Notamacropus eugenii: one gene and its partners. The main gene of each other region encodes a partner of the protein of the gene in region 2 in a complex. Links are inferred from orthologs where the notes say so. Each region holds a gene or a part of one and is shown on either strand. Other genes may lie near its edges. The genes, in order: PRPF6, PRPF8, LSM3 and AAR2.

The links.
Region 1: PRPF8 (region 2) and PRPF6 share a complex: the UniProt entries of both Homo sapiens proteins name them as parts of the U4/U6-U5 tri-snRNP complex. The link is inferred for Notamacropus eugenii from reciprocal best matches to the Homo sapiens genes PRPF8 and PRPF6.
Region 3: PRPF8 (region 2) and LSM3 share a complex: the UniProt entries of both Homo sapiens proteins name them as parts of the U4/U6-U5 tri-snRNP complex. The link is inferred for Notamacropus eugenii from reciprocal best matches to the Homo sapiens genes PRPF8 and LSM3.
Region 4: PRPF8 (region 2) and AAR2 share a complex: the UniProt entries of both Homo sapiens proteins name them as parts of the U5 snRNP complex. The link is inferred for Notamacropus eugenii from reciprocal best matches to the Homo sapiens genes PRPF8 and AAR2.

The regions. Positions count from the first base shown.
Region 1 is NC_092872.1:496,238,641-496,245,827, forward strand, and holds the start of PRPF6 (pre-mRNA-processing factor 6), read right to left. Parts: upstream 3,017-7,187; 5' UTR 2,190-3,016; coding exon 1,549-2,189; intron 1-1,548. UniProt on the Homo sapiens protein: Involved in pre-mRNA splicing as component of the U4/U6-U5 tri-snRNP complex, one of the building blocks of the spliceosome.
Region 2 is NC_092873.1:39,717,319-39,724,440, forward strand, and holds the start of PRPF8 (pre-mRNA-processing-splicing factor 8), read right to left. Parts: upstream 3,008-7,122; 5' UTR 2,914-3,007; intron 2,082-2,913; 5' UTR 2,071-2,081; coding exon 1,971-2,070; intron 1,741-1,970; coding exon 1,572-1,740; intron 880-1,571; coding exon 715-879; intron 629-714; coding exon 410-628; intron 255-409; coding exon 42-254; intron 1-41. UniProt on the Homo sapiens protein: Plays a role in pre-mRNA splicing as core component of precatalytic, catalytic and postcatalytic spliceosomal complexes, both of the predominant U2-type spliceosome and the minor U12-type spliceosome.
Region 3 is NC_092874.1:429,469,767-429,476,664, reverse strand, and holds the start of LSM3 (U6 snRNA-associated Sm-like protein LSm3), read right to left. Parts: upstream 3,011-6,898; 5' UTR 2,886-3,010; coding exon 2,865-2,885; intron 1,649-2,864; coding exon 1,538-1,648; intron 1-1,537. Other genes in the region: XPC (DNA repair protein complementing XP-C cells), read left to right, coding at 3,209-3,281. UniProt on the Homo sapiens protein: Plays a role in pre-mRNA splicing as component of the U4/U6-U5 tri-snRNP complex that is involved in spliceosome assembly, and as component of the precatalytic spliceosome (spliceosome B complex).
Region 4 is NC_092872.1:420,100,964-420,108,679, reverse strand, and holds the start of AAR2 (protein AAR2 homolog), read right to left. Parts: upstream 3,003-7,716; 5' UTR 2,849-3,002; coding exon 2,101-2,848; intron 1-2,100. UniProt on the Homo sapiens protein: Component of the U5 snRNP complex that is required for spliceosome assembly and for pre-mRNA splicing.

The DNA of each region.
Region 1 (7,187 bases), on a different chromosome or scaffold from region 2:
GCATGGATTCAGCTACTGATATATGATCACTCTCCACAAATGTTTAAGATATTTGTTTAATATCAATATATGACACTTATATAAAGATTTAAAGTTTGCAAAGTGATTTACACGTTGTCTCATTTCAGACCCAAAATAATCCTGTGAGGTATGTACATCTCTTACTCTTTCCACTTTGTATTTGAAGAAGCCATGGTTCAGAAAGGTTAACTGATTTGGACCGTCACACACCTAATAAGTATAAGAGGCAGGGTTTTAATCCAAGTGAAGCCTCTATCCATGAAGCCATATTACTTCTTAACAGATTTCAATCAAGTCAAAAAATACTCATTAGGTGCTATGCTGCAGGATGCTGAGCAGTGGGGATACAGAGACAGAGGCAAAAACAGTCTCTACCCTCAAGGAGCAAGGACTCCTAATGATGGGAGATAACATGCAAACAACTATATACAAAATGGAGAAAATCTGAGAGGAAAAACACTAATATTCAGGACAACTGGGAAAGAAAGTTATCTTGTAGAAGGTGGGGTTTAACAGACATGAAGTAAGCTAGGGAAGATAAGGGAGCAAAATGTCATTTCATCTACCTTACCCTTACACCCATTTCCCTCCTCTGTTTTTCTAGCATACTCCTAAACACTTTTATTTCTCTAGTAAAGGGAAATTTATGGGGAGGAAAAAGTAATTTCAACATGCCACAGTGCTATTTCAACGGAAATTAAGCATTGCTGTATTCTCAAAACAAAACTTAAATGCTTTAAACTGTATAGGAAGATGAAATCTCTGGTCTATTGCTGAAAGGACATTGTGTTCAGTTTTTTCCCCTAACTGGATCAATTAAGACAGACGAAAGATGAGCTACAGGTAGGAAAGATGAAATGTTACAATCTGTCCAATCCAGGATCAAGAAAGAGAGCTTGAACGTAAGGCAGTGGGGTTTCCCAGAAGGAGCCCTGGGCTGAATCAGGAATCCCGAAATTGAAAATCCCTGCAGTGACACTTCCTGGCTCAGGTGGCAAAGCATCTAATCTCCCTAAACCCCAGGTATCCGACTTGTAAGACGTAGGGGATGTATTCTTGCATCAGTCACAGCAGGGTTGCAAGAGAAGTCTTTGGCAAACCCCGCGGCTTACTTAGTACTGAACGGTGGTCACTATTAGGAGGCAGTACTTGTTTGGATAAAGATGGGTAAGGAGAGCGAACTGAAGATCAAGGCCTGCTGGGGAATCGGAGGGAATGAAGAGAGAGGAAGACAGGGGAGGGATAAATAGGATGAGGAGAGACAGAGAGAAAAGAGAATAGAAAGGACGATAAGTATGGGGTGGGGAAAGTGTGTGTGTGTGTGTGTGTGTGTGTGTGTGTGTGTGTGTGTGTGTGTGACAGACCAGCCCCCCCAGAGCAGCCTCCACCGCTCCCCACCCCTCCCCCGAGGGCACGGGCGGACGACCAGAGGGCGGAGGAGCGATGAGGGACGCAGCTTCCACCGGCCCAAGGCCGTCTCGCTCTCGTTCGGGCCCCGGCCTCGGCTCTGCTGCAGTCCCCGCTCACCCGCGGCCCAGCCCCGGCACATAGCCAAGGGGCGCGGGCATTCCCAAGAACGGCTTCTTCTTCTTGTTCATGGTGTCTGCTGGTAGCGGGAAAGCCGGGGATCTCCGGGGAAGCCAAGGGGGACACCCCAAAGTACTCCTCCGAGACTGAGATGTCGCAGAACCTCGGACCTGAGGAGGAGGAAGTACGTCACCCGAAACCCGGAAGTGTAGAACGTCTCCGTTGCGACGCCCCACCCCTCCTCTTCCTCTCTGGAGGTTGACAGGAAGCACTTTTTCCCTAGCCTTCCGGCCCGACGGTGTCAAAACAGCGAGGGCCCTAAGTGGTAGGTGTCTACGCATGCGTAGGAGATCCGTTCTGGGGAGGTCGCCGGGAGCGTGGGAATGTGGGAGCGCCTTTTGTGCACATGCGCGCAGGTACACAGCTTCTCCCCCTCCCCGCATAAAGCTGCCCACGCTCTTCCTACCTGGCTCCGCCCACGGATACGATACACGTAACGTAAAGACACAAAGCTCCCAGCTCGTGAACACGGACGCACGAAAACACAATTCAGTTCGTTCAAGAAGCTTTGATTTAGCACTTGCTAAAATTGCCAGGTATTCTGCTAGGACCTGTAGATAGAGTGACAAAAATGAAATCATGCGTACCGTCAAGTCAAGTGGCTTCCGTGCCACCCTGGGGAAAGTGACAGGCTAATAAATACAGAATAATTCAGGGGGTGGCACCGAGGAACCAGAAAAGTCCGTGGTCAGGGCATTAGCCTGGAGCCGAGATACGGAAATAGCGAAGGAGCCCAAAAAGCAAAGGTGAGGGGAGAAGTCTCCAGTGCACAAAGGCAAGGAGAGGAGACAGGCTTCAGAGGAATGACCAGTAGGTCAGTGTGGCTGAAAGGCAGGATTGTAAGTCTGAGAAGAGGCTTTGGAAGGACTCTGCAGACTAAAGGAAGGAGATTGTATTTTACCCAAGACTGACTATGAATGAAAGGGAAGGATGTGAGAGATGTGAAGGTTAGACCAATAACATTTAGCAGTTCATTGGATATAGGGGTTAAGGAAGACCTGAGGGTCAAGGATGATGCCCAACATAGTTTGGAAACCTGATTGAAAGGATTGTGGTGCCTTCATGGAAGTTAAGAAGAAGGGTGGGCTTAAGGAGGATTGTGAAATTCTGTTGTGAACATGTTGAGTATGAGATGCCTACAGGGCATCCAGGCAAGGCAAATATGTCCAGCAGGGAGTTGGTGATGTAAGATTGGAACTGAAGAAAGAGATGTAGGCTAGATATGTAGATTGGGCAGACATTCAGAGATGACATTTGAATCCATGAGAAGCTGATGAGATCACCTACAAGAGGGGCTTTTAACCTGGGAACTAAGAGCTTGGGTTTTTAGAAATATTTTGATTATAACTTCACTATAATTTTTTTACTTTGCAATTGTATGTATTATATTTTATACATTAAAAAAAATTATTCTGAGATTGGATCTGTAGCTTCACCAGACTGCCAAAAATGTCCCTCCCCCCCCAAAAAAGTTAAGAATATTTGACTTTGGCACAGAAATGAAGATGGTACATGGTACCTTGAGGTGGGGTTCAGGGGTGCAGGGGAGAGTACATGGACAGTGATCCAGCAAAGGAGATTGAGAAGAATCTGTCATACAAATTGGAAAAGAAATGAGAGTACATAATAATAGTTAACATTATATAGCACTTTTATGTATCAGGCACTATTGTGTTACAATTATTATCTTATATAATACAACAACCATGAGCTTCTGGCAGGAGGAATGAGGAGAATTTTGTTGTTGTTCAGTTATTGTAGTCATGTCCAACTCTTCCAGACCCCATTTGGAGTTTTCTTGACAAAGACAATGGAGTGGTTTGCCATTTCTTTGTCTAGTTCATTTTACAAATGAGGAAACTGAGGCAAACGGGTTCAGCACATGCCTAGGATCACCCAGCTAGTAAGTATCTGCGGTCAGATTTGAACTCAGGAAGGTATAGCTTCCTGACAGAAAGCATGGCAATCTGTGCGCCATAGCGCCACCTAGCCACCCTGCTTTTCATATGCAACTGTGCTGTTCAAGCATCTGAACTTTCCAAAGATGTGGAATGTTAATTTTGCATTTAAAGACTTTACCATACATTTTTCTGTATTTTTACCCATCCTTACCTTTCAGCTTTGCTAAAGTCTCACTGGGGCACACAACTATACCTCTGTTGAGGAGTCTTGTATAATTTTGAGTTATGTCCCTACTCTCAAGAAGCTTATAATCTAAGGGGGAGACAACATGCAAAGAAATACATACAAAGCAAGCTCTGTTACAGGAAAAATAGGAAATGGCTAATAGAGGGGAGGCCCTGGAGATAAGAAAGGTTAGGAAAGGTTTCCTGTAGAAGGTGAGATTTTAACTGAGACTTAAAGAAAGCCAGAGAACTTAGTAGTTAGAGTGAAGGAAGAACATTCCAGGCATGGAGGACAGCTGAGAAAATGCCCAGAACTGAGAGATGGAGTGTCATCTTCATGGAACAGCTAGGAGGCCAATGTCACAGGATTGAAGAATATGTACTGGGAAATAAAGTGTAAGAAGACTGGAAAGATAGGAGAGGGCTAAATTATAAAGGGCTTTGAATGCTGAACAGAACATTTTGTACCAAAGACCTTTCCAAGCCATCTCTCAGTTGTGTACTTGTTCTTTTATCTCCTTTAAATTTCACTTTATCCCGGTGTGGTTCTGGGGTTCTGATAGCCAGGACTCTTCTAGACAGGTTAACATGTCCCTTCCCATACACACCAGCTTCTAATTTATCCCCTTCTCAGGGTTCCCCAGCTCTTGTAGCCACTGCTAGATGGATCCTATGACATAGAGATCTTCTGCTCCTGTCCTGAGACATTCAGGAGTGGAAGGAAGACTAGAGTGAGGTCATTCAGTATGGTCTAATTGATGTCTCAGCCACCAGACCTCAGAACCAGTAGAAGGGAAAGAGAAAATGATCAGAATGGAGGGGCAACATCCCCTGAGTCAAACTTCCCCCATACTTCCTTATATTCCACATTCCTGCTCATATACACATGAGTATCTCTATACCTACCAGCATGCTACCATTTTCTCCTTATAACTCCTTGGCCCAGACTTGTGGCAAGTATATGACCTACATAACTATCAATCCACTCATCTGGAAGAGACTTGTCCAAGATCACACAGGAAATGCCCCAGGTGCCTTGTTAGGTACCCTGCTCTGATAGCCCCTTCTGAGGGAAGAAGTTGGAGGGCCTGAAACTATGAACTCTTCTACTAATACCATCATCACCACCCCATACACATCACCCAGGGGTATAGGAGTAAATGCTTAAAAACCGGCTCTCTGGAAAAATGGACATATGGCAAACTAATAAGTTTACTCTTCATCTAACAATTTCTCCATCACTTCCTTAAGTCTAGACAATCAACAAAGCAATAGCTCAAACCCTGATTTGTAACACTGACTAATTTCTGAGGTGAAATACACACAGAGAAAATTTAACATTTAGCTCTCTCTTTGAGAGGTTTGAGCTGACTCTAGCATATTCCTAGTATTCACTCCTCAAACTCACAGGAGTCCCTCCCACAGGGCCAATTTGTGGAAGTGGGAAGGGCTGAACGTTCATTAACTTTAGGACCTGTCAGTCATCAACTCTTCTCTGTTTTCCCTGGCAAAAAATTGGCCTCAGAAACTTGTGGGCATGTTTAGGCAACAAAAAGGGAGACCGTCACTTCCTGGCTGTGGGAGCGTGTAGGTGTGGCAGCAGCCCCTCAGGGTAAAGCCACAGGGACATAGAATAGGAATGAGACTACGGTAAAAAAAAAAAAAAATAAGACTAAAATGTATAGAGCCAGAACCCTAGAAAGAGAGAGGGTCTTCCAAGAGAGACCAAGCTACTCCACCAGGATAAAGAGATCTCTCCCTCTTCCTGGGAGGAAGCCCTGGGATCAGATAAGGAAGGGCTGCTCTCCCAAGGCTTCTAAAACAGGATTGAGGCAAAAGTTGAGGATGCAAATAGAAAATAGAGAATGGAGTCCCTAAAATTTGCCAACCAAACCTTTCTGAATTCAGAGATTTAGATACTACATATTCTGAAGATCATAGTCACATGTTATTTTGTTTTATCATTGACTTAACAAACCTTCTTTTGAAATATTTAGACCTTCTCTTTGCAGCATAGGGTTTACAGCAGCAATTCTCAGGAGGGTCCATGGAGTCAAAACTATTTTTATAATTATATGAAGACATTTTAATTTCTAATACAATAAATATCACATAACTCCACGTGAACCAAAGTTCTTTGGGATGGCCTCAATCATTTCTAGGAGTTACTGTAAAGAGACCCAGAAATTTGAGAAACTATGGTACATGGGGTATCTATACTTAGACCAAGGAAACTTGAAGGATCTTCACCTCCTTGGAGGTTTATATTGTGGCTGGTTTACCTTCCTGCCTTGGACCTTCCCTCACAGAACTTCCCTAGGAGTCTGACTATGAAATTCTAATTTACCTAGAATTAGGTATAAGTGAGATATAGACAACATTATTCTCCCAAAAACAATCAGAGTTCGTGGTGCTGTGTGAAGTGAGCACTGTGCATAGTAACAGCAATACTGTTCAATGACCAACATTGATAGACTTAGATCTTTTCAGCAATACAAGGGTCTAAGACATTCCAAAAGATTCATAATGGACAATGCTGTCCACATCCAGAGGAAGAACTATGGAGTCTGAATGCGGATCAAAGCATACTATTTTCTCTTTTTTGTTCTTTCTTGTGGTTTTTCCCTTTTGTTCTGATTCCTCCTTTAACACCATGACTTATGTGGAAATATCTCTAATAAGACTGTACATGTATAGCCTACATCGGATTGCTTGCCATCTTGGGAAGGGGGAGAGGGAGAAAAAAATTTGGAACTCAAGCTCTTATAAAAGTGAATGTTGAAAACTGTCCACATATAATTGGAAAAAATAAAATAATATTAAGTGGGGAAAAAAAATCACAGAGTTCACTCAGAGCTGGACTATATCTACGGTTGACAGGACTACTCTTCAATTTTGGGGGGTTTTATCCAAAGGAAGGATAGTTCCTTCGTGCCCAGGACATCTGAGATATCTTGAAGACGAGGGAGTATCATGAATTTCCAAAGTCCATGAGGAAAATCTCAGCCTCACTGAATTCAAAGATTCAAAGGAAGCACAAGGACTACCTCATTTTTATATTTATATCCCCTGTGCTTACAGTGCTTGGCATATAGGCATGTAATAAACACCCATTAATTGACTGATTGATGAGTCACCTTTTTAGTTCTGCCTGAAACAGTGAGACAATCCATACTTTTAAGGACTTTACATCCCCTTTAGATCTTCAGATTCAGAGAATCTAGGATACCCCTTGGGGAATGGTGGCTTGACACCCAGCTCCTATCCGCCTTAAGATATCTCAATTGTCCTGAGCACCTGGAAACTTACTTTCTTTTGACAAAAACTACCTGAGTTCAGTCTCTACCTCCTCATTTCCCTCAGCCAGAGTATTGTCCTTAAATCTTGTATGGAAGGAAACTGCGCCTGATTTGGAAATCTGATCACCTATACCTCTCCTCGGAGAAGTAACAT
Region 2 (7,122 bases):
AACCAGGGACCCTGCAAGCCCTTCTTTTTAAGGACACTTACTGAAGATTGATGTCTCGGACCAGTGGTTCAAATTTTGGGCCCCCTGGGATGGCCATGTTGAGGGCCTTTGAGGTGAAAAAGGCCTTCAGGTCAAATAGATAGAAGTAGTTGTCATCCACAAGGTCAGTTAGGAGTTGATTGGCCAGGCGGTAAAGAGTAGACATCATGGGTAAAGTGAATTGCCAGCGCTGATAAGTGGAGCCATTCACGTACCTGGAAACAAGGGGGGCAAAAGTGGGAAACCAATAGCAGCTACTCAGGCCATAGCATTCATTCCTAAAGCCAATCTCTCTTCGACAGACCCAAAGAGGACCAACAACTCCTGCCAGCTGAGTCTGGTCTATTGATCTGAGCCTGTGGGAACTCACTTCCTGCTGTCTCTTAGGGGCTGGTGGTCATAAAACCAGTCGAGCACAGGGGCATCTTCCTCAGGGTCCAGTTCCAGCTGAATGGCTTCCAAAGGCTCCACATCTAGGATGTTGTCAGCATAGTCAAGGGGTGGCTCCTCATCATCAAATGGGGGGAAACGCATGCGCTTGAAGTGCCGTCTGTCCCTCTTCTCTCGGCGCATCATGATCCACATGGACCTGGGGTGAGCCACATCACAATCAGAATCCCAGAAGAGAACAAAGAGACAACCTCTAGAACCCAAGCATCCCCCAGTCTTCCTTACCCCCACTGAGAGATGTAGACAGGCTCAATGACCCAAGGAATCTCATTGACAAAGGAAATAGCTCCAGTGATGTGGTAGAGAACAGGCACATCCCGAATCTGCTCCCAGGGCATGGGCATGTTTTCCAAGAGCTTGAGGACAGCATGAGGCATATACTTCAGGGCACTGTGGCATTGGGTAATCAGAGGGTGACAGAAAATCAGTACTCCCATGATGCTCTCTGTTCCCTATCCCAAATACTACACTGTTCCATGCAAGTCATATTTTTCCAGAAATCAATTGCCCTGGCAACTCCAAAACTCCCATGGCTAGGTGATCACACTGTCAGTTTCTCTGTTTCTTAGTGGAGGCAGTGATTTGTTAAAGTTTTGGTCCCTCCACCCATCCAGCCTCCAGCTTAGAGTTCAGAAGCAGAGAAGGTAAAAGGAACAAGAGAACTTGAGGCAACCAGCTTTACTGTTTCTATGTTCTGGATACCTTAAAAGAATTCATACTTTCGGGTATGCCAGAACAGAGGAGAACTCTGGGCCTAAAATGACAGAAAAAATTCATGCAACAATGCAACTACAGAATGTAAATTTTTGGGTTTGCTGGAGCTCCCTCCCTCAAAGGGCATTAAGAATGGCACTACTCATACAAGTGTTATCCAGAAGGGTTGTCCAGGACTCCAATCTACAGTCAGAAAGGAGGGCAGCAATCACGGGCAGAAATAAAAATATCAAACAGCCTGGGGATACAATCACAGTTTTATGAGGACAATGATCCAACCAAGCCCAAACTGGCAGCTGCTTGGGACTCTCAGGGAATAACAATCTTTCTGCTTTTTTCACATCTCTCTAAGCCCTGGATCTCCTCACCCCAGGTAGACTCGCTTGTCATGACGGAACTTCCGGTTGGTCATGTCCCCATGGTCACGGATGATCTTCCTGACATGCTCTGGAGGCATGTCTTCCTTCTGTGCATCTACAAATCCGAATTTCCGCTTCTCTGCATAGCGTTTTGCCTGCAACTGCTGCCATTTTCGGGCTGGAGAGGAAACCCAGACTGTATCACTGTCTACCCCATGTGAGCATCCCCAGTCCCAAGGTGCCACTCCTAAATGCTTTCCCGATAGGTCTGCAGAGAATGCTTTCTTTCACAAGAATGAGAGCAACAGGCCAGAACCTGAATTCTCAGGGAATACTGAGGGAGCGTGCCCAGGGGACCTGATCCAAGCAGCACCCCACTTCCCAGCCTAATTCTCCCAGACCTCTCACCTTTCTCCTGAAGCTTCTCCTCTGACATGTAGTCGGGCAGTGGTGCCAGAGGGCCGGGCACAGGGGTACCCGGCCCTCTGTAGGGAAACACTCCGGCCATGTCCGGAGAACCTGGGGAATAGTAATGGAACTCAGTAAAGTCTCTCTAAATGACCACAAAGGAGGGTAAGGGCAATCTGGAAACTCTCTAGGGCCTTTCCGCAACCATGCCCAGGTCTCTACACTCATATTAACATGAATGCGACCCCCTGGTCTTCCCTGCCACCCCTCCTCTCACTCCTGTGCCTTCCCCGCCTCCCTCCCCCATTCCTGACCCCTTGGCTGTGTCCACCCGCAGTGGGAGCCTGGGTCGTGGCTCGATCGCCCTCCCCAAGCTTCCCCTCCCATCCCCCCATCGCTAGACCTCCTGGCTGGCCCTCTTGCATCGTCCCCTTCACGGACCTCGGGTCCGCACCTCTGGGTGCGCTCGGCAGCTCCCCTACCGTCCTCAGGGCCCCCCCACCCCCCAAGGCCTTCATCAGCACCGCCTGCAGCGCTCAAGGGAGCCCGGCCTACCCCCAAGGGGCTTCTCCCTTAGACTGCCCCTCACCACGACCCTGCTCCCTTCACCCGGACAGCCTCGACTCCATACGTTCCCTCCCACTGCACATGCGCCCCATTCTACCCCTTTCACCCTGATATCCCCTTCTAGCCTCGTTCAGGGGCCTTGCTTCATTGCGCATGCCTACTGCGCATCCCTTCCCAGATGCTCGGCCCCGCGCGCTCCCGCCACCTCATTGCGCATGCGTTGCTCCCTCCCTCACACTGCAGCCACTTCCCCCAGCATCACCCCCCCCCCCGCCCCCTCCATTTCTCCTTCACCTCTTTGTACCAACCATCCCTTCCCGCGCGCCCCTGTCCTGACCAGCCATGCGCCATCAGCCCTTTACTCCCCTTTGCTTACCCCACAGCACCCGGCAGTCACTTTGCAGTTTCTACGAAAACGCAATGGCGGCAATCCCACGTCCGCCTCACGTTCCCAACGCCCGGAAATGCGCAAGGAGCTACCGAGGAGGGGGTGGGGGGGAAAGAAACTAGTATCCAATCGGTGTCGGTCGAAGAAGATGGAGGTTGGTCATAGCCAATAGTCGCCAAGCATCCGGATGAAGGAGGCGGGTCGAGACGTTAGAGTGGCTTGGCCCCAGAAAGGGGGCGGGAAGCTCTGAGGATAAGCCCCGCCTTCCCCACGCTCGCGCTCTCCCAGCTCGGAGAAGCTCTGGCCCCGCCCCGATCTTTGAGGTGGCCCTGAACAGCGGCTTTCATGCAAATATGTAGGTATTACACTGATTTGCATAATTTATGCAAATGAAACGTATGCAAAGGTTTTTTGATTCCTCCAGACCCGTAGTCAGAACCCTAAAGCTGGCCATAGGGCTGACCGTGGACCTCAGAAGACCTGGGTCCAATTCCTTAGTGCCCCTGGACCAGGTGCGGATCCGGCCAGGTACCTTGAGTTTACCTGGTTAGGAAATCACAGGTCCCACTCAACAAACCAAAGCAGCCACCCTGAGGATAATAAATAGAAACTGTGATGATGAGGATGAAAAGGATGGAGCAATCGGGAATGTGCCTGCGCTTTAAGGTTTGGCAAGGGCATTATCGCTTTAGAACCTCAACACCCAGGCGAGGTAGGAACTGTGGACTTCGTTATCCCAGTTTTAAAGCTGGGGAAACTGAGGCTCAAGGTGACCTGCCCGTAGGAGCACGCTTGGTGAGTGTAGACTGTCTCTTGTCTCCATGGCTGCCTCTCCCGGTGTCTCCGGGCTTTCTCTTTTCTCCATGTCCTGATTTTCATTTCTCCCAGGGACGCATGGTAGACACAGATCTACTTGTTCCAGCTCTCTGGAGTCCCAGCTCTCCCAGTAGCTAGTTTCTTCTTGTGTAAAATAATAATATAGCTCCTCTATAAGGTTTCCAGAACCCTTTTCTCACAGTAATCAAACTACCAACAAGTATTTAAGTTAAAACAGCAAGACCTGAAGTCAGGAAAACTGGAGTTCAAACCTGGACAAGTCACTTAAATTTTTGTTTGCCTCACTTCCCTCATCTGTAAAATGGAAGTCATAACAGCACCTACCTCCCAGAGTTGATATGATGATCAGATGAATTAATATGGGTAAAGCAGTTTGCAGACCTTCAGATGCTGTATGAATGCTGACTACCCTGATTACTTAGCCAAGTACTGGGCAATTCTATCAAGGGTGACCACGTACACCTATATAAGCACATATAGAATATATACAACCATGCAGGGTGGTTTAAGGAATGACCCCACTAGAGAGATCAGGAAATGCTTCTTGTTGAAGGAGCTGTTGCTTGAGTTTCATCTGGAAGGAACTGGGGTTCTAGGAGCTAGGAATGCGCAATGAGTAGGCAAGGAGGGATAGTTTGTACAGAGACCAGAGATGGAACATCATAAGTGAGTGGGGAGAGTTGGGACTAGATCCCTTGTGGCTCTGACATTCTATGACTGTTTCATGGGGTCGGAGGTGTATGGGGTATTCAGGAGGATGAGCACCTGTGGTGGCAGGGCTTACTAACCACTTTTCAGGGCTGGATAAAGTTTCAGTAGACAGGCTAAACCAGATTGAGGGTAACTGACAGACCTCAAACCTGTCAATGAATTAGGAGGATGTTTAGCCCAAGCTTGTGAAAACTATCTCTGGAGGAATGGGTAGATGAGAACAATTTGTTCCAACAGCCATGAAGGTGGCTGAAGTATACAATGTGGAGGGCTTAGAGTTTGGTCAGACATCAAAGACGCCAACGTCATCCTGGATCATCCCCAGTCGTTCAGACTTTTGTTTTGCCACTGGACTTGGATGACTCTGGGAGAGTGAGGCTGGTGACTTTATGCAATTCAGCCTCACTTAAATTCTGTTCATGAATAAGTCAAGACTCTTCAAAACTGAAGGATTAACACCAACATTGGGTCAGGGAACTTAGAGCTGGTACCTGTTATATTAAAAAAAAAATAGCATTCATGATTCCATTTTTTCCCTTACCCACCATTTTGTGAAGCTAAAGTTTCAGCTGTTTGTAAAGTCACATTCTGGATTTTGAAGAAGTCACAAGATTTCTCCCTCTCCCAAAGGTCCCCCAACTTAAGAAATATCACAAAACTCCCCTTCTCCCTCTCACCTCAGTGTCTCCTGATATCCTTATTACATTTGGAAATAAAGGTAAACTGAGAGATAAGATTCCCAACATCACCAATTTATTAGGGTAACAGCATCCAATACATTGAATCAATGGCCTCTCAATAACCAAAGACCCCTAGGTAGGGCTTGCCAGCCTTCATTTAGTTTGGAGAAGTACAGCATTGGGTAGTTGGGGAAGACAATGTGATTGGTTACTGATAAACAGCCTTGTGGCCATGGAGACAACATGAGAGACTGTATCAAGGAAATCAGGCTAGCATTTATGTGGGACTAGTAGCCACCCCTTTCAAACAATTGAGGAATGTTAAATGTTTTATGGGACCCCTCCCCATCTTATAATCTTTGCTAAGGGATCAAAGCTACCAATGAGCATTTAGGGTTAGGGTTGCTAACTCCTTGGAAGAGACAAAACTCTCCTAATTGTTCAAGGAAAGGCAAGGACAGATGACACATCTTTTGAGGATGGTACCAAGTTAACTTGTGAAGCTTAAAGATAACAAACAGATGTCCTGGATGTCCTGGAAGTATCCTAAGGTCTACCAGTATGAAAGATGACAACTTTTCTTTTAATTATAACTTTAAAGTGACTCAGAGGGAAATCAGAATTCCTCAGCTCATCTCAAGGACCTAGGTGGCTTTAGGCAGATGCAGACTCAATTGTAAAAATCAATACAGTATAGAATCAGTTACAAGGTGGAATTAATTTGAATTTCTCACTCTCTACTAGTAAGAAACCAGATGTCTTAATCCCAATAATCCTATTTTTCATTTTTTCCACTCTGTTCAAATTGTATATTAACTTCATAGAAACCAAACCTAGGGGTCCTTGGTTTACCTAGAGTCTTGGACCCGGTTTGTTTTGCAATCCCATGCATTGCTAAATAAATAAACCATTTGTCCGGATGAACCTCAGTTTCTTTTTTTTCCCACCTAATATACCTTCATCCTAATTTAAAAAAAAATAACTGTGCTAAATGCAGAGTAGAGATTTAGTAGGCTGGTCAAGAGGCAGAGACAGAAAGACTAAAGGGAAGAAGAAGAAAATGGAAAGCAAGAAATAAGAGAAGAAACAAAGTCAGAGAGAGCATCACGAGAAGCACCCACATACATGCATATGGACACGGCCAGGATTCTGGTGGGACATTTAGTTTAAGTGGGATTCTGTTTTAATGAAAAGATGAGAAAAAAATCTCTACTCCACATTTCCCACTATTCTAGGTGCACTGGGGGATGCCAAAGGGAAAAGAAAGGGAATAAGCACATTTATGTAGCACCTACTGTGTGCCAAGTGCTAAACTAAACTACACTGGCTGTTAGGTGTTGCGCAATTATTATTTCATTTGATCCTCAGAACAACCCTAGGAGGTAAATGCTGCTATCATCCCCTTTTTTCAGATGAGGAAACTGAAGCCAACAGAGGATAAGTGACCTACCCAGGGTCACACAGCTGGGTAAGTGTCTGAGGCTGAATTTGAGCCCAGGTCTTCCTGACTTCCAGCCCAGTGCTCCATGCACTATGGCACCCCCTAGTGACCAACAACATGCAAGTCATAATCACTGCCTGCAAGGAGCTAACAGTTTACTCGGGAAGAATTCATCCTTCAGGATCCATCTGCAAAATGAGTCAGAGAGTATTGTAATGAAAGGTGTGCTTTATAAAGTGTTTTATGAAGATTAATTGGGGGGGGGGTGGTAGAATTAATAAGGTGGTTGTGTAGCAATAACACTCTCTCAATTGTTAAATGCTCATTATGTGCCAGGCACTGGGCTAATCACTAGGCATGCAAAAAGAAGCAAAAGACAATCCCTGCCCTTAAGGGAGAGAAAACGTGCACACAAATACATAGAAAGCAAGTTATACATAGGATAAAAAGGAAATAATGAAAAGAGGGAAAGCCCTGGAAGGAAGAGAGGTTGGTTAAGGCTTACAGTAAAAAGTAGAATTTTCATTG
Region 3 (6,898 bases), on a different chromosome or scaffold from region 2:
TATCTTTCCCCCTGAACCCTCCCCACTTCTACCTTCCCATACCCAGGCTCACAACCTAGGAGTCATTCTGGACTCCTCACTATTTCTCTCTCCCCTACAGGTCCAACCACATCACCATCACCCGTACTCAATAAACTCCAACAGCTCCATTACCTCCAACCCCAAATAGAAAATGCTGTTTGGCATTCAAAGTTCTTTATCATCAGCCCCCTCCCACCTTTCCAGTCTTCTTACAACTTACTCCCCACCACGTGCTCTTCAATCCTGTGACACTGGCCTCCTGGACATTCCACAAACAAGACTCTCCATCTCTGGGCATTCTCCCTGGCTGTCCACCAAGCTTGGAATACTATTCCTCCTCTGCTCCACCTTCTGACCTCTCTAGCATCCTTTAAGTCCCAACTAAAATCCCATCTTCTACAGTAAGCCTTTCCCAAGCCCTCTTAATCCCAGCAACTTCCCTCTTTTACTTCCTATTTATCCAGTATAAATAGCTTGTTTGTACATACTGGTCTGCTTGTTTTCTCCCTATTTAGATTCTGAATTCCTTGAGGTCAGGGATGGGTCTTTTTGTATCCCCAGAGCTTAGCACAATGCCTGGCACATAGTGGGTGCTTAAAAAATGTTTACTGACCAACTGACCTTTCTGATTCCTTACTTAGTAAACTTAAAGACTTGAGAATCATAAAGAATCTTAGGGGTCATCTTGTACAATGTCCTCACTTCATAGACAAAAAAAATGGGGCCCAGAGAAGTTCCAATGTCTTGCCTTAAGTCACACAAGTATAAGAGGTATAATCAGGATTCAAACTCAGGCCCTCAATTGGCAAACAAAACCTCTCATCTTCTTTCAGAGCAGGTATCCCTTCCCCCCCTGAAGTGTTTCCTGACATCTTCACATGCGAAGGTTCTCTCCTTCCTCAAATACTCTAGAATATTGTAATTAACTTCTAATTAATTATCTTTTAAGTGCCTGTTATGTGCTACACACTTCTGATGCAAAGACAAAAGCAAAAGCCCCTTCTGCTCCCAGTTAGATGAGGGAGAGAATTTGGGACACACACATCAGGCCACACAAAATAGACCCAAGGTCTGATCTCGCTGCCTCCCTTCACACCTTATTTATAATTACTGATGTACATGTTGGATCCTTCGAGTAGAATGGATGCCCCCTGGGGCAGGCACGATATTGTAACCTCAGCACAGTTCCTTAAACCAGTGGTGTCAAAGTCAAATAGAAAAGAATTCCTGTGGATCTCATTAATGTGATCTATGTTCTAGAGGAAACTACAAAGCCTACTGAGACACAGGTCAGTATGGTAGACAGATGGTCTTGGACTCAGAAACTGATTTAAGTGCCCCCTCAGACACACATACCTACTGTGACCCGAGCAAATGACTTAACATCTCTGTGATGCTGGCAAAGAAGGCACCGAGTTGCACTGATAGAGGGGGTTCCCCCATTTTCAGTTTTTTTTACTGATGAAATCACAAACCCCATCTGCAGTGTGCCCCAGATTCGAAACGCTTCACTCACATGCAATCTTCCTCGTAGTTCTCGGTCATTTCTCATTTTTACATAAATTCGCTCATCCAGACTGAGCCTGATGAGATCCAGCGGCTCCTCCACAGTGTTGGTGGTCTGTTGCTGTTAAAAACAAAAACTGCAATGATGCACACCCACCAGAAGAGCTCCAGCACATTACCCACCTGCTCTTTGTAGAACCGACACTAAGGCAATTATTTCTTCACTTACAGTTTCCACCTGACCTAGCTTACAAGAGGTTACTCCATTAAAAATGAATTCCTTAACTCCTCTTTACAAGAAGCCAGCCTGGCAAAAGTACTGTCACCTGAAGGTTGTTTAGGGCTCCCAGGGCAGGCAGCACAGCCAGGCTAGAACACTTCAGAGATAGCAAACGTTTAAGGGTGCTGTGCAGAATGTCACATTTTCAGCAACGGAGGGCCTGATGGTTGTAAAAGAGTGGTGGGATGGGGAAAACGTATTTGTCCCCTTTATCTGGCTGGGCTTTAGATACAGAGACAAGTGGCAACTAAAGCTGAAAATGGAAGGGACTTGCAGATGAGAAGGGAAGAGCTGGGGAGGAAGACACTCACTGTGTGACCCTGGGCAAGTCACTGCACGTCTGCCCGCCTGAGTCGGCTCAGCGGTCAAATGGGGATAACAACGCCCCCCCAGGTTGTTGTGAGGATCACATGAGACAGCACTTGTAAAATCAGCTTTGCACACGCTAAACCCCTCACACATGCTATTCTTATCGTTAGGAGGGAGGTCAAAGGGCATAATGATTAACGAGCACCCCCAAGACCCTTGTCACTACAAACGTGCAGAAGGAAGCTTTCCAAAGGAATAGACGGAGACGAGAGGTAAGGAGCAAGAAAGCCTGTCCACCCGAGGCAGGCTGGACCGGCGTGGGCTGGGGGACTCCGCGGGCACGCCAGGGGAAGGGGCTTCTGGGACGCTAAAGCCAAGCCTCCCAGGGCTGCGGACTCGGGGCGGGGATAGGGAGGGCAGGACAGACTTGTCCTCCCTCATTGGCTGGCTGAGCCGTAAATCAGGAGGAGGCGGTCCAGCCAACGACCAGAAGACTAGCCAATGAAAACTCCGGCTGGCTAGCCGGAAGGTGACAGACAGCTCAGCCAGCCAGTGACAAAGCGGAGGAGGGCGTGGCTTTCTCCACTCGGAGCCCAAGACTTTCAGAGAATCCCCGTTACTACAGAATTTCTCGGTAGGGTTGGCGGGGAGGGAAGATTTGACGGGATCCGGGAAGAAGGAGCAAAGGGCTGCTCCAAAAAGCATCCTGAAATAGCCCAGAGGAAAGGGAGGCTCTCCAGCAACGTACCTGATCCGCATCGTCCGCCATGTTTCAAATCCGGTTGCTTTTCCCGCTTCTCGCGAGATGACGTATACGCTCTCGCGGCAGCCAGCCTATCAGCGAGAGCAAACGTGATGACGAATGCCCGGGAGGCGTGCAGAGAAAGGGTTGCTGTTACCGGAAGTACGTAAGGAACGCTTTGCTCCTTGCGGTTCCCTGCGCTCGCCTAGTGGATTTCACTTCCACCTCGGGTCTGTCTGCGGAGGTCGGAGAGGGGGCGTGGCTTTAGCCGCCCGGGGAGGATTAGTGCCCCGCCCCCGCCCCGCGCCTGAGCCGCTGCCCGGGCTTGTTCCTGGGCTAGACCGTGCAGCATGGCCCGAAAGCGGGCGTCCTGCGAGGAGCAGCGGCGCCCCAAGAAGGCCCGGACCCAGGAAGCGGAGCCCGGTGAGTGGGGGGACCGGGCGGGGCGGTGGGCTTGGCGTCTCCTCGGGCTGGGGGGTGTGTGACTGGCGGGGGTGAGAACTCTGGCTGAGCCGCCCACGTGACGCTCCGTCTCCCGCCTCCGAGCCTTTGCCTAGGTTGTCCCCCAGGCCTGGCATGCACTCCCTACATCTCTGCTGTCCCTCAGGTGCTCGAGTTTCCTTCAAAGCACAGCTCAGAAGCCACCTTCCCTGAAGTTACTTTGCATTCTTTTTGTGTATATGTATATACACTCCATCCACCATCTCTCAATAGCTATTCCTTTATCCATTTTATGTCCTTTTCATCCACCCATCCAGTAGAATATCTCTCCATCTACTTAAATATTTATCATCCACCTAAATATCTGTCCATCTCCATATCCATCCATCTATCTGTCCCATTTGCATCTGTGTATCCGTTTATCCATCCATCCTTCCATCCGTCCATCTGTCTCATCTGTGTCTGTGTCTGTCTATCCATTTATCCATTCATCTATCCAAGAGTGTAGTGTAAGTTCCTTTGGCCCAGTGGATAGAGTGCTAGGCTTGGAGTCAGGAAAATTGAGTTCAAACCAGTCCTGACACTAGCTGTGTAACCTTGTGCAAGTCACTTAAGCTGTTTGCCTCAGTTTCCTTATCTTGTAAAGTGGGGAGTAATAATAGCATCTCCCTCTCCTTGTTGTGATAATCAGTCAAATGAGATATTAATTTAAAAATGTGTGACATGGTTCCTGACACATGTATTATGTAAGTGTTTATGTAAGTGTTAGCTATCGTCGTTATTATAAGTCAGTCAGACAGGTTTTTACTAAGCTGGACCCTGTTCTAGAGGCAGGCATTACAAGTGAACAGTGTACCTTCTAATGGAGAAGGCAACAAGTGCGTATAAAAAATGTGGACAGTGTCAAGATAAATTTAAGGAATACATCCCCATTTATGCCCAGATTTATTAAGTAAGAGATTGTTTGAGAGGGAGGGCAGCAGCAGTTTGGAGGATCAAGAAATGCTTCACGCAGGAGATGGTGCAGTTTCATATTTTCTTCTGTGGCCCCTGAGCCGGCACAAAGCTGACATTTAAATATAAATGGTTGTCAATTGACTGATTGTTGGATTAAGGCACTAAAGGATGGCTGAGCCTCAGTGTTCATTCAGTTCCACAAATACTTGTTAGGAGGTGTTCTCTGTGTCCTCAGCCCCAGAGAAGGGAAGGTCATGGCCCTGAAGGAATTTACATTCCGCTAGGGGGAAATTCCACACTAATGCGATCAGGTTGGACTGAGGTTCCAGCTCTTCAGTCTCTGAGATTCATGATTCTGTTCATTGTAATTCAAAATAAAACATAAGCAAATGCCACATCCAAAGAAGGAAAGTTCGTTTTCAACAGGCATCATCAAGGAATGTTTTTCTTAGAGGCTGGAAAAGTTTGATGCAGGTCTTGAAAGATATGTAGCATTTTTGCAGATTGAGATTGGAGGTGGGAGACAATAACATGTAGGAAACTGTTTGAGAAAAGTTACCTCCAGAGTTGGGAAAAAGCAAAAACAATGTATTGGGGGAGTAGTCCTCCATTTTGGCAGGGGGTGGGGGCATAGAGTTTGAAGAGAGGAGTATTGTGAAATAAAGCTGAATAGTTAGTGAGTAGTGCCACAGCCTTCAGGACCTTGAGTACTAGACCAGGGAATCTGGACTTTGGCACATAATAGGGAGTCATTGAAGTATTTGGGGACAGAACAGCAGCCTGATCGTATCTTTATATGAGAAAAATCAATCTTGCAGTGGTAGAAAGTATGGATTGAAAGATGTCATTACTTGTTTTAAAAAAAGGGTTGAACTGGATGAATCTTAAGGCCCTTTATAGCCCTGGCACACTATGCCAGTTATCTGGAAAGTTGTCCCATAGCATGACAGGTTCATTTTCTATTACCCCAAAGAATGTAGAATCCCCAGTAAGCTTATGTTGCATAGTATTTGCAAAGCTTAAATTGTGCCACTTATTTTGAGATTTTTACTTACAAATTCTAACTATAGTGACAGCTCTGAGGTAGGAAATTCAGCCTGGCATATACATTTTATGTTTATATGCATTCTATAAATAAGGAAACAGGTTTAGAGATGTTAAGTAGGTTTGCCTCTTGTCTCAGAGCAAGGATGTGTTCAAGCCAGGATTTGACCTGTTGTCCCTTCTAGAAGAATGCTAGATTTCTGTTCTAATTCAGTTTTAAAAAAACAAAACAAAGTGCTTACAAGAAATACACTGTATCACTGAGGGTACAAAGGAAGTGGCCAAGGCCTAGCCTATACAAGCACTTAAGTCAGGCTCCTCTGAATGAGTTGTGGTCTGACTGAGGAAGAAGTCACCGGAAGTGGTCCTCAGAGCTGTGATCAGATCTCCCCTGAGTCCTGCCAGTTAGAGAAGTTTGGTCCCCGGTCAGAAAAGCAGCAGATGCTCCCAGCGGGATCCCAGCCACATCCTCCTCAAGTGTAAACAAGGGCAGTGCTTTTTTTGTCAGTAAGAAGACACAAATCAACAGCCCCGGAATGTCTTCATTTTCATTTTCTTGTTCATATCAGGGCGCCTCTGTTTGCTTCCCAGTTCTTCTCTAGATTTTATGTTCTTCTTACAACTGTCAATGTAGCTGTTGTAGTCAGGGGTCCTTCTGGTCCATGGAACCATCACTGAGAACAGAGGGGCTTACGGCTTTTCTGCACTTTCAGGACTATCTCCAGCCCCGAGGCAGACATGACATACACAGGGTCACTTTTGCTAACTCAAAGAATGGTTCAGAGGTCATTGATACCTTTGGAAGAGGTAACATCCTTATTTTCAGGATGGAAAGACTGAAATACCTCTAACCTAGTCCAGTGGCTTAGGGCCAGATCCTGAAGTAGAAATCCTCATTCCCAGGCTGTTTCTCAAACTTATTAATTTAACACATATTCGTTCAGCAGGCATCTGCTGTGTGCCTACAGAAGGGAGTCAGTCCCCTGCCCTAAGGATATGTGCCTTTGGCCCAAATAAACTCCACCTAACCCGAGGACTTTAAGGAGAACTGAAGTGCTTAGAGTAGTCAGGAAGGGCTTTCCTTAGGAGGCACACCCAAAGGAAGCCGGGGGAGTCTCAGGGAGAGATTACAGGAGGCGAGATAGGGAGAGGGAGAATTTTGAGTTCAGGGAACAACAGGTGGGCCACTTTGGCTGGCATCGAGAATGCCCCAAGGGTGCCAATGCGGAGCACATCTTGAGCCAGACTGTGAAGGGTTTTAATGCCAAACTGAAAAGTTTGTGTTTTATCTTAGAGACAATAGAGAGCCATTGCAGGTTCTTGAGCAGGGGAGTCAGACCTGTCTCTCCTGACCTAGTCACACCCATTTGTTAGGAAAATTATTTGGCAACCCCATGGAGAATAGATTAGAGAGGAAAGATGGTAGGGTCAGGGAGAACAGTTCCGAAGTAATCCGGTGAGAGGTGATGAGACCTCAAACTAGGATGGAAAAAATATGAATGTGACAGATGTGGAAGTAGAATTCACAAGACTTGACAACTGATTGGCTGATGGGGGGGCATGGACAGGTGTTGAAAACTTGGATGAATAAAACAGCT
Region 4 (7,716 bases), on a different chromosome or scaffold from region 2:
CAGACTCTCTGGACTGCCACCATCCCTCATGTCCCTCCACTCCATTTTCACATCTCTTTTTATGTGCTATCTTCCCCCCATAGAATGTAAGCTCCTTGAAGGCAGGTGTTTGAATTTGTATCCCAGCTCATAGCACAGTGTCTGACACCCTATATTAGCCCTTAACAAATGCTTATTACCTGTGTGCAGTAACTGAGCAAGTTTGTCCTGGTACCCCATTAAAAAAACCCTGATTTGACTATTTCCAGTTCCTTCTTATATCTCCCAGACCTGCTAGTCTGTTTGCATGTGCCTAGGGATATTATACCTTTTAATTCCCACTCATCCTTGCTATAGATTTGGAAGGACCTTCATAAATTCTCTTTCTTCAAAAGAAGCAACTGGGGGAGAAAAAAATACTGTAGAGTTGTGGGGTAAGGGAGGGGAATGAAACAAGAGCAACTTCAATGCCAACTTAACAGTTCTGAGAAATGGAGCCTGAAGTGCAGGGCTCTAAAGGGAAATTATCTTAACTTAATTTCTAAGTTCTCACAATTCTTAGGGGCAATGCATGTATCTGATTTATGACTCACAGGACTCAGAATTTTTTGAGTCAAATGGTATATTAGAAATAACTAATTTTACACCCTTATTCACAGATGGGGACACCAATGCTCAGAGTAGACTTGCTTGAGATCACATAGTGAGCAGGTGGCAGAACTAACCCCAGTGCTCAAGCATCCTGACCCATAATCCAGTGCTTTATACGCTGTAATTACCCAGGGACTGGACAGATGTTGGAGACATGGGGAAGCATTTCAGGAACTGCAGGAAAAATCACAGGGGAATGAGAACTACAGGATGTGCTAGGGGATATAGAGCAATGGAATAAACTATTCCTCAAAGAGAGCAACAGGAGGCCAATGGGGGAAATGACGATGAGCCATCAGGGTGAGCAGATGTGTTAAATGCTGCAACTCCACCAGCTACCTTTGTAATAAACAAACACTGTTAAATCGTAATGCTTAGCAACTAAACTTGAGTGTTCTGTGGGTGACTGGCAGTGCTATCTCAGCTTCACAGGAGGACTGTAAAAATTTATTACACCTTGAAAAGTGCTTTGTAAGGCTTTGTGTAGCCAAAAAATCCTGCTGTACACTAATCAACTTTACAAGTGCAACATTCCACATGAATAAATTCTATAAACCTCAGAGAACTAATTCTTGGTTCACTGACTATGCAACCAGACTAGCACCCAAGAGAGCTCTGCACATCCTGTGACAGGACTCTAAAGTAAATTAAGGGAATAAAATTGTAAAAGGATTCAATAGTTCAAGAGGAATGTCCCTCATTTCATCTCCACCTCTGGACATCCTATGGTCATTCTAGGTCCAGCTCAAATTCTAGTTCCTCTGGGAACCTTTATCTAAGTTCTTTGGCTAGTGGCATGGCATGTAGAGTTCTAAGGGACCTTATAGGTCACATATTACAACTGTTTCACTTAGAAACTTGATCTCATAGTTCTTTGTACTCCGTATTCCATTTGTATTATATTTATCTGTATACTCTTAACTGTAGTATTGTATTGAGCTCCTTGAGAGATGAGGTTGGGTCTTACTTATCTTTTTATTTCCTACTGTGTTCTGTACATATACTTAACAATTTGTTAAATGTTGAAGAGGAAAGCTGAATAGAATTGCTGGATATGCTCTACAGTAGGAGACAGGAGACTGTCTTAGGCAAGTACTTTCTTCTCCCTGGGCATCAAGTCATGTGCAACATAAAGGAGAAGTTGGACTCTGTGCTAGATCCGACAATCTACAATTCCTTAAGAGGAGCTACCAAAGTGTTAGGATCTATCAAGGCCACTTCGTATAAGTTTTATTAGAGCTCCAGGAGCTCTAATAAAACTTATAATACTCATAATACATAAAACTCATAAAACTTAGGCTTCATTTGACTAAAACGGCAGGATGGTGAAGACTGGTCCAAGACCAGTGAGTGCTAAAGCCTGGGCTCTTGAGTCCAGTGACTCCAAATTTCGAGCTTTTCTCACGACCCCGCCTGGACTTTCGGCCACCTCTCTTACCTTCGGGACAAAAGGGAAGCAGTCATACCTACCCAGGACATCCTGGGGGTTGGCGGAGTACTGCCTGCTGATCACAGTCTCGAGGGCGTAGCTCAGGTCCATGCTGTGCTTGGTGATCTCGGCCGGGCTGGCGCCGTCGGGGTAGGTCTGCTTGGGCAGCGGGGTGAAGCGGATCTCGGTGCCGGCCCTCTGCTTCATCTGCGGCAGGCGGGCCAGGCCCTCGCGGTAGCTCCGGCACTCGGCGCCGCAGGCCGGCGGGCCGCGCTCGGCGCGGTCCTTGGTGTAGGTCAGGGGCTGCACGGGCAGCACCTCGGAGAAGGCGCAGATCTGCCCGCTCTCGGGCTGCAGCCGCCGCACAGCCTCCTCGCTCAGGCAGCTGCTCAGGGACACCCACTTCCTCAGCAGGTCGTGCGGGTAGGGCCCCAGGAAGCGATCCAGCTCCTGCAGGCTGGCCCGCACGGCCTCCAGCTGAGCCTCGGGCGCCGGGCTCAGGTCCAGCTCCTCGCGGGCCGCGTCCCAGCGGAGCAGGCGCAGCGCCCGCGGCCGCAGGCTCACGAAGAAGCCCGTGCGCGGGCCTGTCTCGCGGGTCCCCGAGGGGCTGCGGCCCGCCGCGCTGTAGTGCACCAGGTGGACGCCCGGGGGGATCATCTTGACGCCGCGGAAGCGCGGGCCCACCTGCCACGAGCTGCAGTCGATGCCGAACTCGGTGCCCTCGGGCACGCCCAGGGCCACCACCGTGGCGCCCTCGAAGAAGAGGCTCCGGGCCAGCTCCGGATCCATCGGGGACGCCCAGCCGCCCTTCGAGGCCCTCCTGACCCGAGCTCGGGACGCTGGGGCCCCGGAGGACTGAGGGCCGGCGGCCGAGGCGCCCCGAGGGATCGTTTCCCAGGCCCGGCTGACAGCTTCCCCTTAGCGGCCGCTCCCGCCGTGCGCCGGAAGTGCGGCCGCTTCCTCCCGGGATGGGGACGCGGGTGCAAGGGGAAAATGCTCCCTTCCCACCCGGGGGCGGTGAGAGAGGGGTTCCTACATCCTTGGGTTCCGCCTGCCACCCCTGGTGTCCCCATAGAGTGCCTGACGCTCTAGACCTCGGAGTCCTAGAGGAGCACCTAGCACAGTGCCTGGAACGTAGTAAGCGCTTACTACGTGTTTATCGACCGACAACTCTTCTGATCAATACAAGGATCCGAAACAATTCCGAAGGACTTAGATGAAAAATGCTGCCCACCTCCAGAGGGAAGGAACGGATGGTGTCCGAGTGCAGCCTGAAACATAATGTTTTCCCTTTCGTCATCTTTCTTGCCTTTTTCTCTCGTTTTCTTCGCGATATGGCTAATACGGAAATGTTTTGCCTGACCTCACATGTTTAATTGGTTCATCACATTTCTTGTCTTCTCATGGGGAGGCTGAAGACTGAGAGAATTCAAAACTCAATTTTTTACGTAAATTACATATCTATCTATCTATCTATCTATCTGTCTGTCTGTCTGTCTGTCTGTCTGTCTGTCTGTCTATCTATGGGTTTGCTCCAGGTCCTGCCCCACCCAGGCAGCCAGTCACCAAGCCTCACACTCACAGATGTTCACAGCTGGAAGGCATCACCTGCCACCAGGATCTGCGCAGCCATCCCTTCTACAGGGTCGACCATCGGTGGCCCTCTTTCTTTCACTCGAAGACCTTAGTGACAGGGAATCCACTCCCTCACAAGGCATCTCAATCCACTTTTAGAAAATTTAGATTTTTAAGAAGATTTTTCTTGAGGTGGATCTACAATCTACCTTTCTAATTCCCACCAACTGTTCCTAGTTTTGCTTTTTTTAGGGCCAAGAAGAACAAGGTTAGTCTCTCTTCCAGGAGAACCCTCCTTGCTGCCATGGACCTGGATCTTCTCTTTCCCCAATCCAGACACCTGAGGGACTTCCACCTGAGAGTCCCTATCTGGAAGAGGTGCCCTGTAACACTCTTAACTGGAACCTTGGGCTGATTTAACCTAATTGGTACTCATCCTGTCCCATGGAGAGAATATTTCTACCATCTTCCACACTTGGATGATCTCATTCATGTAGGAACTTCCAAGGATACAAATCACCACCCATAAACACCCTATCATTCTCTGTGATTATTGACCACATCCTTCCATAAATCATCTACAGGATCTCCATTGGACCATTCAGTGTACTCGGATGGTGGAATGGAATGGAATGGAATGAAATAAGCATTTCTAAAGTACCTGCTATGTGCCAGGCACGGTGGCAAGCATTTTACAAATACCTCGTTTAATTCTCACAACAACTCTTCGAGGTAGGTGGGGGAAGGGTGTTTCTCTAGTTCTCTCAACCTTACATGTATGTCAGCAAGAGGACTATCTATTGGTTATGCCTCCCTCTTTCAGTATGACCTGCCCACCTTCCTTTTCAGTAGACCACAGTATATCTGATGGCATCCTTTTTTTCTGCTTTTCTTGCTTGGTTAGTTGTAAATTACACACGCACGCACGCGCGTGCGCGCGCAAAACATTTTGCAAACCACCATGCATTCTATAAATGTCAACAATTATTATTAGTGTGTCATAGCTTACTCATGCTGATCATATGCCTCTCCACTGCCTGTCCTCTAATCCCCAAAAGGAATACAGCAAATGATTAAGATAATTAGTATTAGTGACTCTATTTTGCTTTTATGTACCATTTTATGAAGTTAATATTTCAAATCCACGTAAGTCACCTGATTTAGGTTTCACGCCTGACTTAAAGAATGTCACAAGAATACCCCTCTTCCTCTCATCTCAGTGTCTTCCGATCCTCTCCCCCATCCCAAATTCCACCAAGGAGAAACCAGATGTCTCAATCCCTATAATCCTGTGTTTTTCCAGTTTTTTCTACTCCTTCTAAATTATATATTAACTGTGAGAAACAAAGCTTCTGGGTTCTTAGTTACCGTGAGTCTTGGACCCGGTTTGTTTTGCAACCACATGCATTGCCAATACATCATTGCCCAGAGGCAATTATTCAGTTCCTTTATTCCTCCATAACAGATGGGAGTGGGGAATGGGACAACAAAAGGAGGGGACGGTTGCTATCTCCATTCAACAGCTTTTCTCTAGTCTTGCTATTGAATTATTGTGTGGACCACAGAGAGTAATCTCACCATAGCTCCACTGAAGTCCTTTGCAGTCTTGCTAAATGGAACTCCTGGGGTGATCTGCAGGCTCTCATGGGTAAGATAAGAATGAAAATTACTTTTCTGATCATAACACAAATTAGAATTTACACTGAAAGTCTGAAGTATAGCTGTGGAGTTAAGTTCAAAAGACCAATTTAAATGCCCAAGTGCATCTGAAATCACAAAAGAGGTTCCCTGCCACTGGGAAAGAAGTTGTACAGGAGCTAAAGACCAGCAGAGAGCAGCATTGCAGAGAAAACAAATCTCAGGACAAGATTCCAGCTCAGCAAAGAATCAGGAACACTATATTAGGGAACAAGCATCTACATCAAAAACAGGGCTCGAAGTCCTTCTCTCTTCCCTAACTCCTATCCTCATATCAGGGAACTTCAATATATGTGTTGATACCTTCTCAGATACTCTAGCTTTCTAGTTTCTCAACTACACAAAGAGATAGTCACACCTTTGACCTTGCCCATAACCCATTACCCATAACACTTCCATGTTCATAAGCTCTGAAAATCCTTTATTTCACAATCTATTTTCCTTTCACCTTCCCCACTTTTTATAACCCTTAATCTTATCTTCATCTTCATTATGACCTCCATTCTCTCTATCCCTCAGTTCTTTCCCAGGTCATCATACCTACACTGGCTATACTTTTCTCCCTTTCCTATCTTGAACTCTTAATGAACCAATTTAACTCCATACTATCCTCCAGTCTCCTTTACTTACACCTTGCTTTTTAAGAAGATCAGGAAGGACTTGCTGAGATCTTTTCAGGGCTGCTCATCCACCTTTGGTGCATACCTTTCACCCAGTTCTCACCTGTGGCTCCAAAAAGCTATAGCATGAATAGTGGCCACACGCCAGTGTGGCAGACAGGCTAAACCAGGTTGAGGGTAACTCGGTGAGTTGGGGAGGTGTCTACACCAAGCATGGCAGAATGGGTAGATGAGAACAATTTGTTACAAAAACCTTGAAGGCAACTAAAACAGGGGCTGTGGGGGCCTTAAAACTTGGTCAGACATCAAAGACACCAAGGTCATCCACTACATCCCAGGCCATTGTCAACTGTCTTGACTTTTGTCCTGCTACTGGACTTTGATGACTCTTGAAGAGAGGGTGAAGCTGACAAAATTGTGCAACTTTTCCTCACTTAAATCCAGTTCATTCAAGAGTCAAGACATCACACTATGATGTCATTTGTCCTCTGTGAAAACAAAACATGAACAGCAATACCGTCCTCTACCCTCAATTCCCTTGACTCCTTGTCCTACTGACAATCATGACTTGCCAAGCCCAAACCCTGGACTACTGCCACTATCTGCCTCCTTTGCTCCTATCCACATGCTGTTGCACAGAGCTAGAGGAAATCACAAAATTGCTAACTATGCTACAAATTTAGGTTACATAATCTCAAATGGGCCCTCACTACAGCAAGACATTCTATTCCTAATTGATTTGCTGCCCCACTCTCCACAATAGCTATTCCAAACATTCTCATTTTTCCTTAAGTCTCCCATGACACCCTAACCCCCACTATCTCAGATGAAGAGTTCCCTTCATATTTCATTGAGTAAAATGAAGCTACTCCAGCACTCCCCCTTTTCCCTTCCTCTTCATCTCATTTCAATCAGATATCTTCCCTGCTTATCTCTTCATTCTAGTGTACAATAAAGAGGTGGCCCTCCTTCAAAGGCAACCTTCCATATGCAGTCTTGATACTGTCTTCTGCCATCTTCTCTAGCAGATTGCTTCTACTTTTACCCTTACTTTTTCCCTTATACTGAATCTCTCCATATCTATTGGCTCCTTCACTGCTACTTACAAACATGTCCAAGTCTCCATCCTTGAAAACTTTTACCTTATTCTACCATCCCCACTAGTGATAGTCCTTTATCTTGTCATCTCAAATTAAACTCCTTGAGAAAGCTACCTACGCTGCACCTCCCGTCTTCTTACTCTATTTGAAACCTTCTGTAATCCGACTTCTAACCTCTAGCCATTCAACAGCATTCTAATCTCTAATACTAATCTGAACTCCAGTCATTTAACCATTCTAATAATTCAATAGAAACATTTTTCTCTACAGTTACCAATTATCTCAATGACCTTTAATTGCAAAATCTGATGTCCTTTTCTCAATCTTGATCTTCCTAAATCCCTTTGTGGGATTTAATGCTGTTGACCACCTTCTCCTGGAAACTCTAAGCTCTATGGGTTTTGTGACACTTCTCTTCTAGCTGTCTTGCCTGACTGCTCCTTCTAATTCTCCATGACTAGTTCTTCATCCATGCCATGCCCACTGACCACAGGTGTCCTCCAGGGCTCTGTCCTGGACTGTCTTCTCTTTTTACTCTATACTATTTCATTTGGTGATCTCACCATTCCCTATAGGGTCAATTATTTCTATATTCCCAAATCTATATATCCAGCCCTAATCTTTCTTGGTCATTTAGTCACTGAATAAATATTAAGTGCTTAGT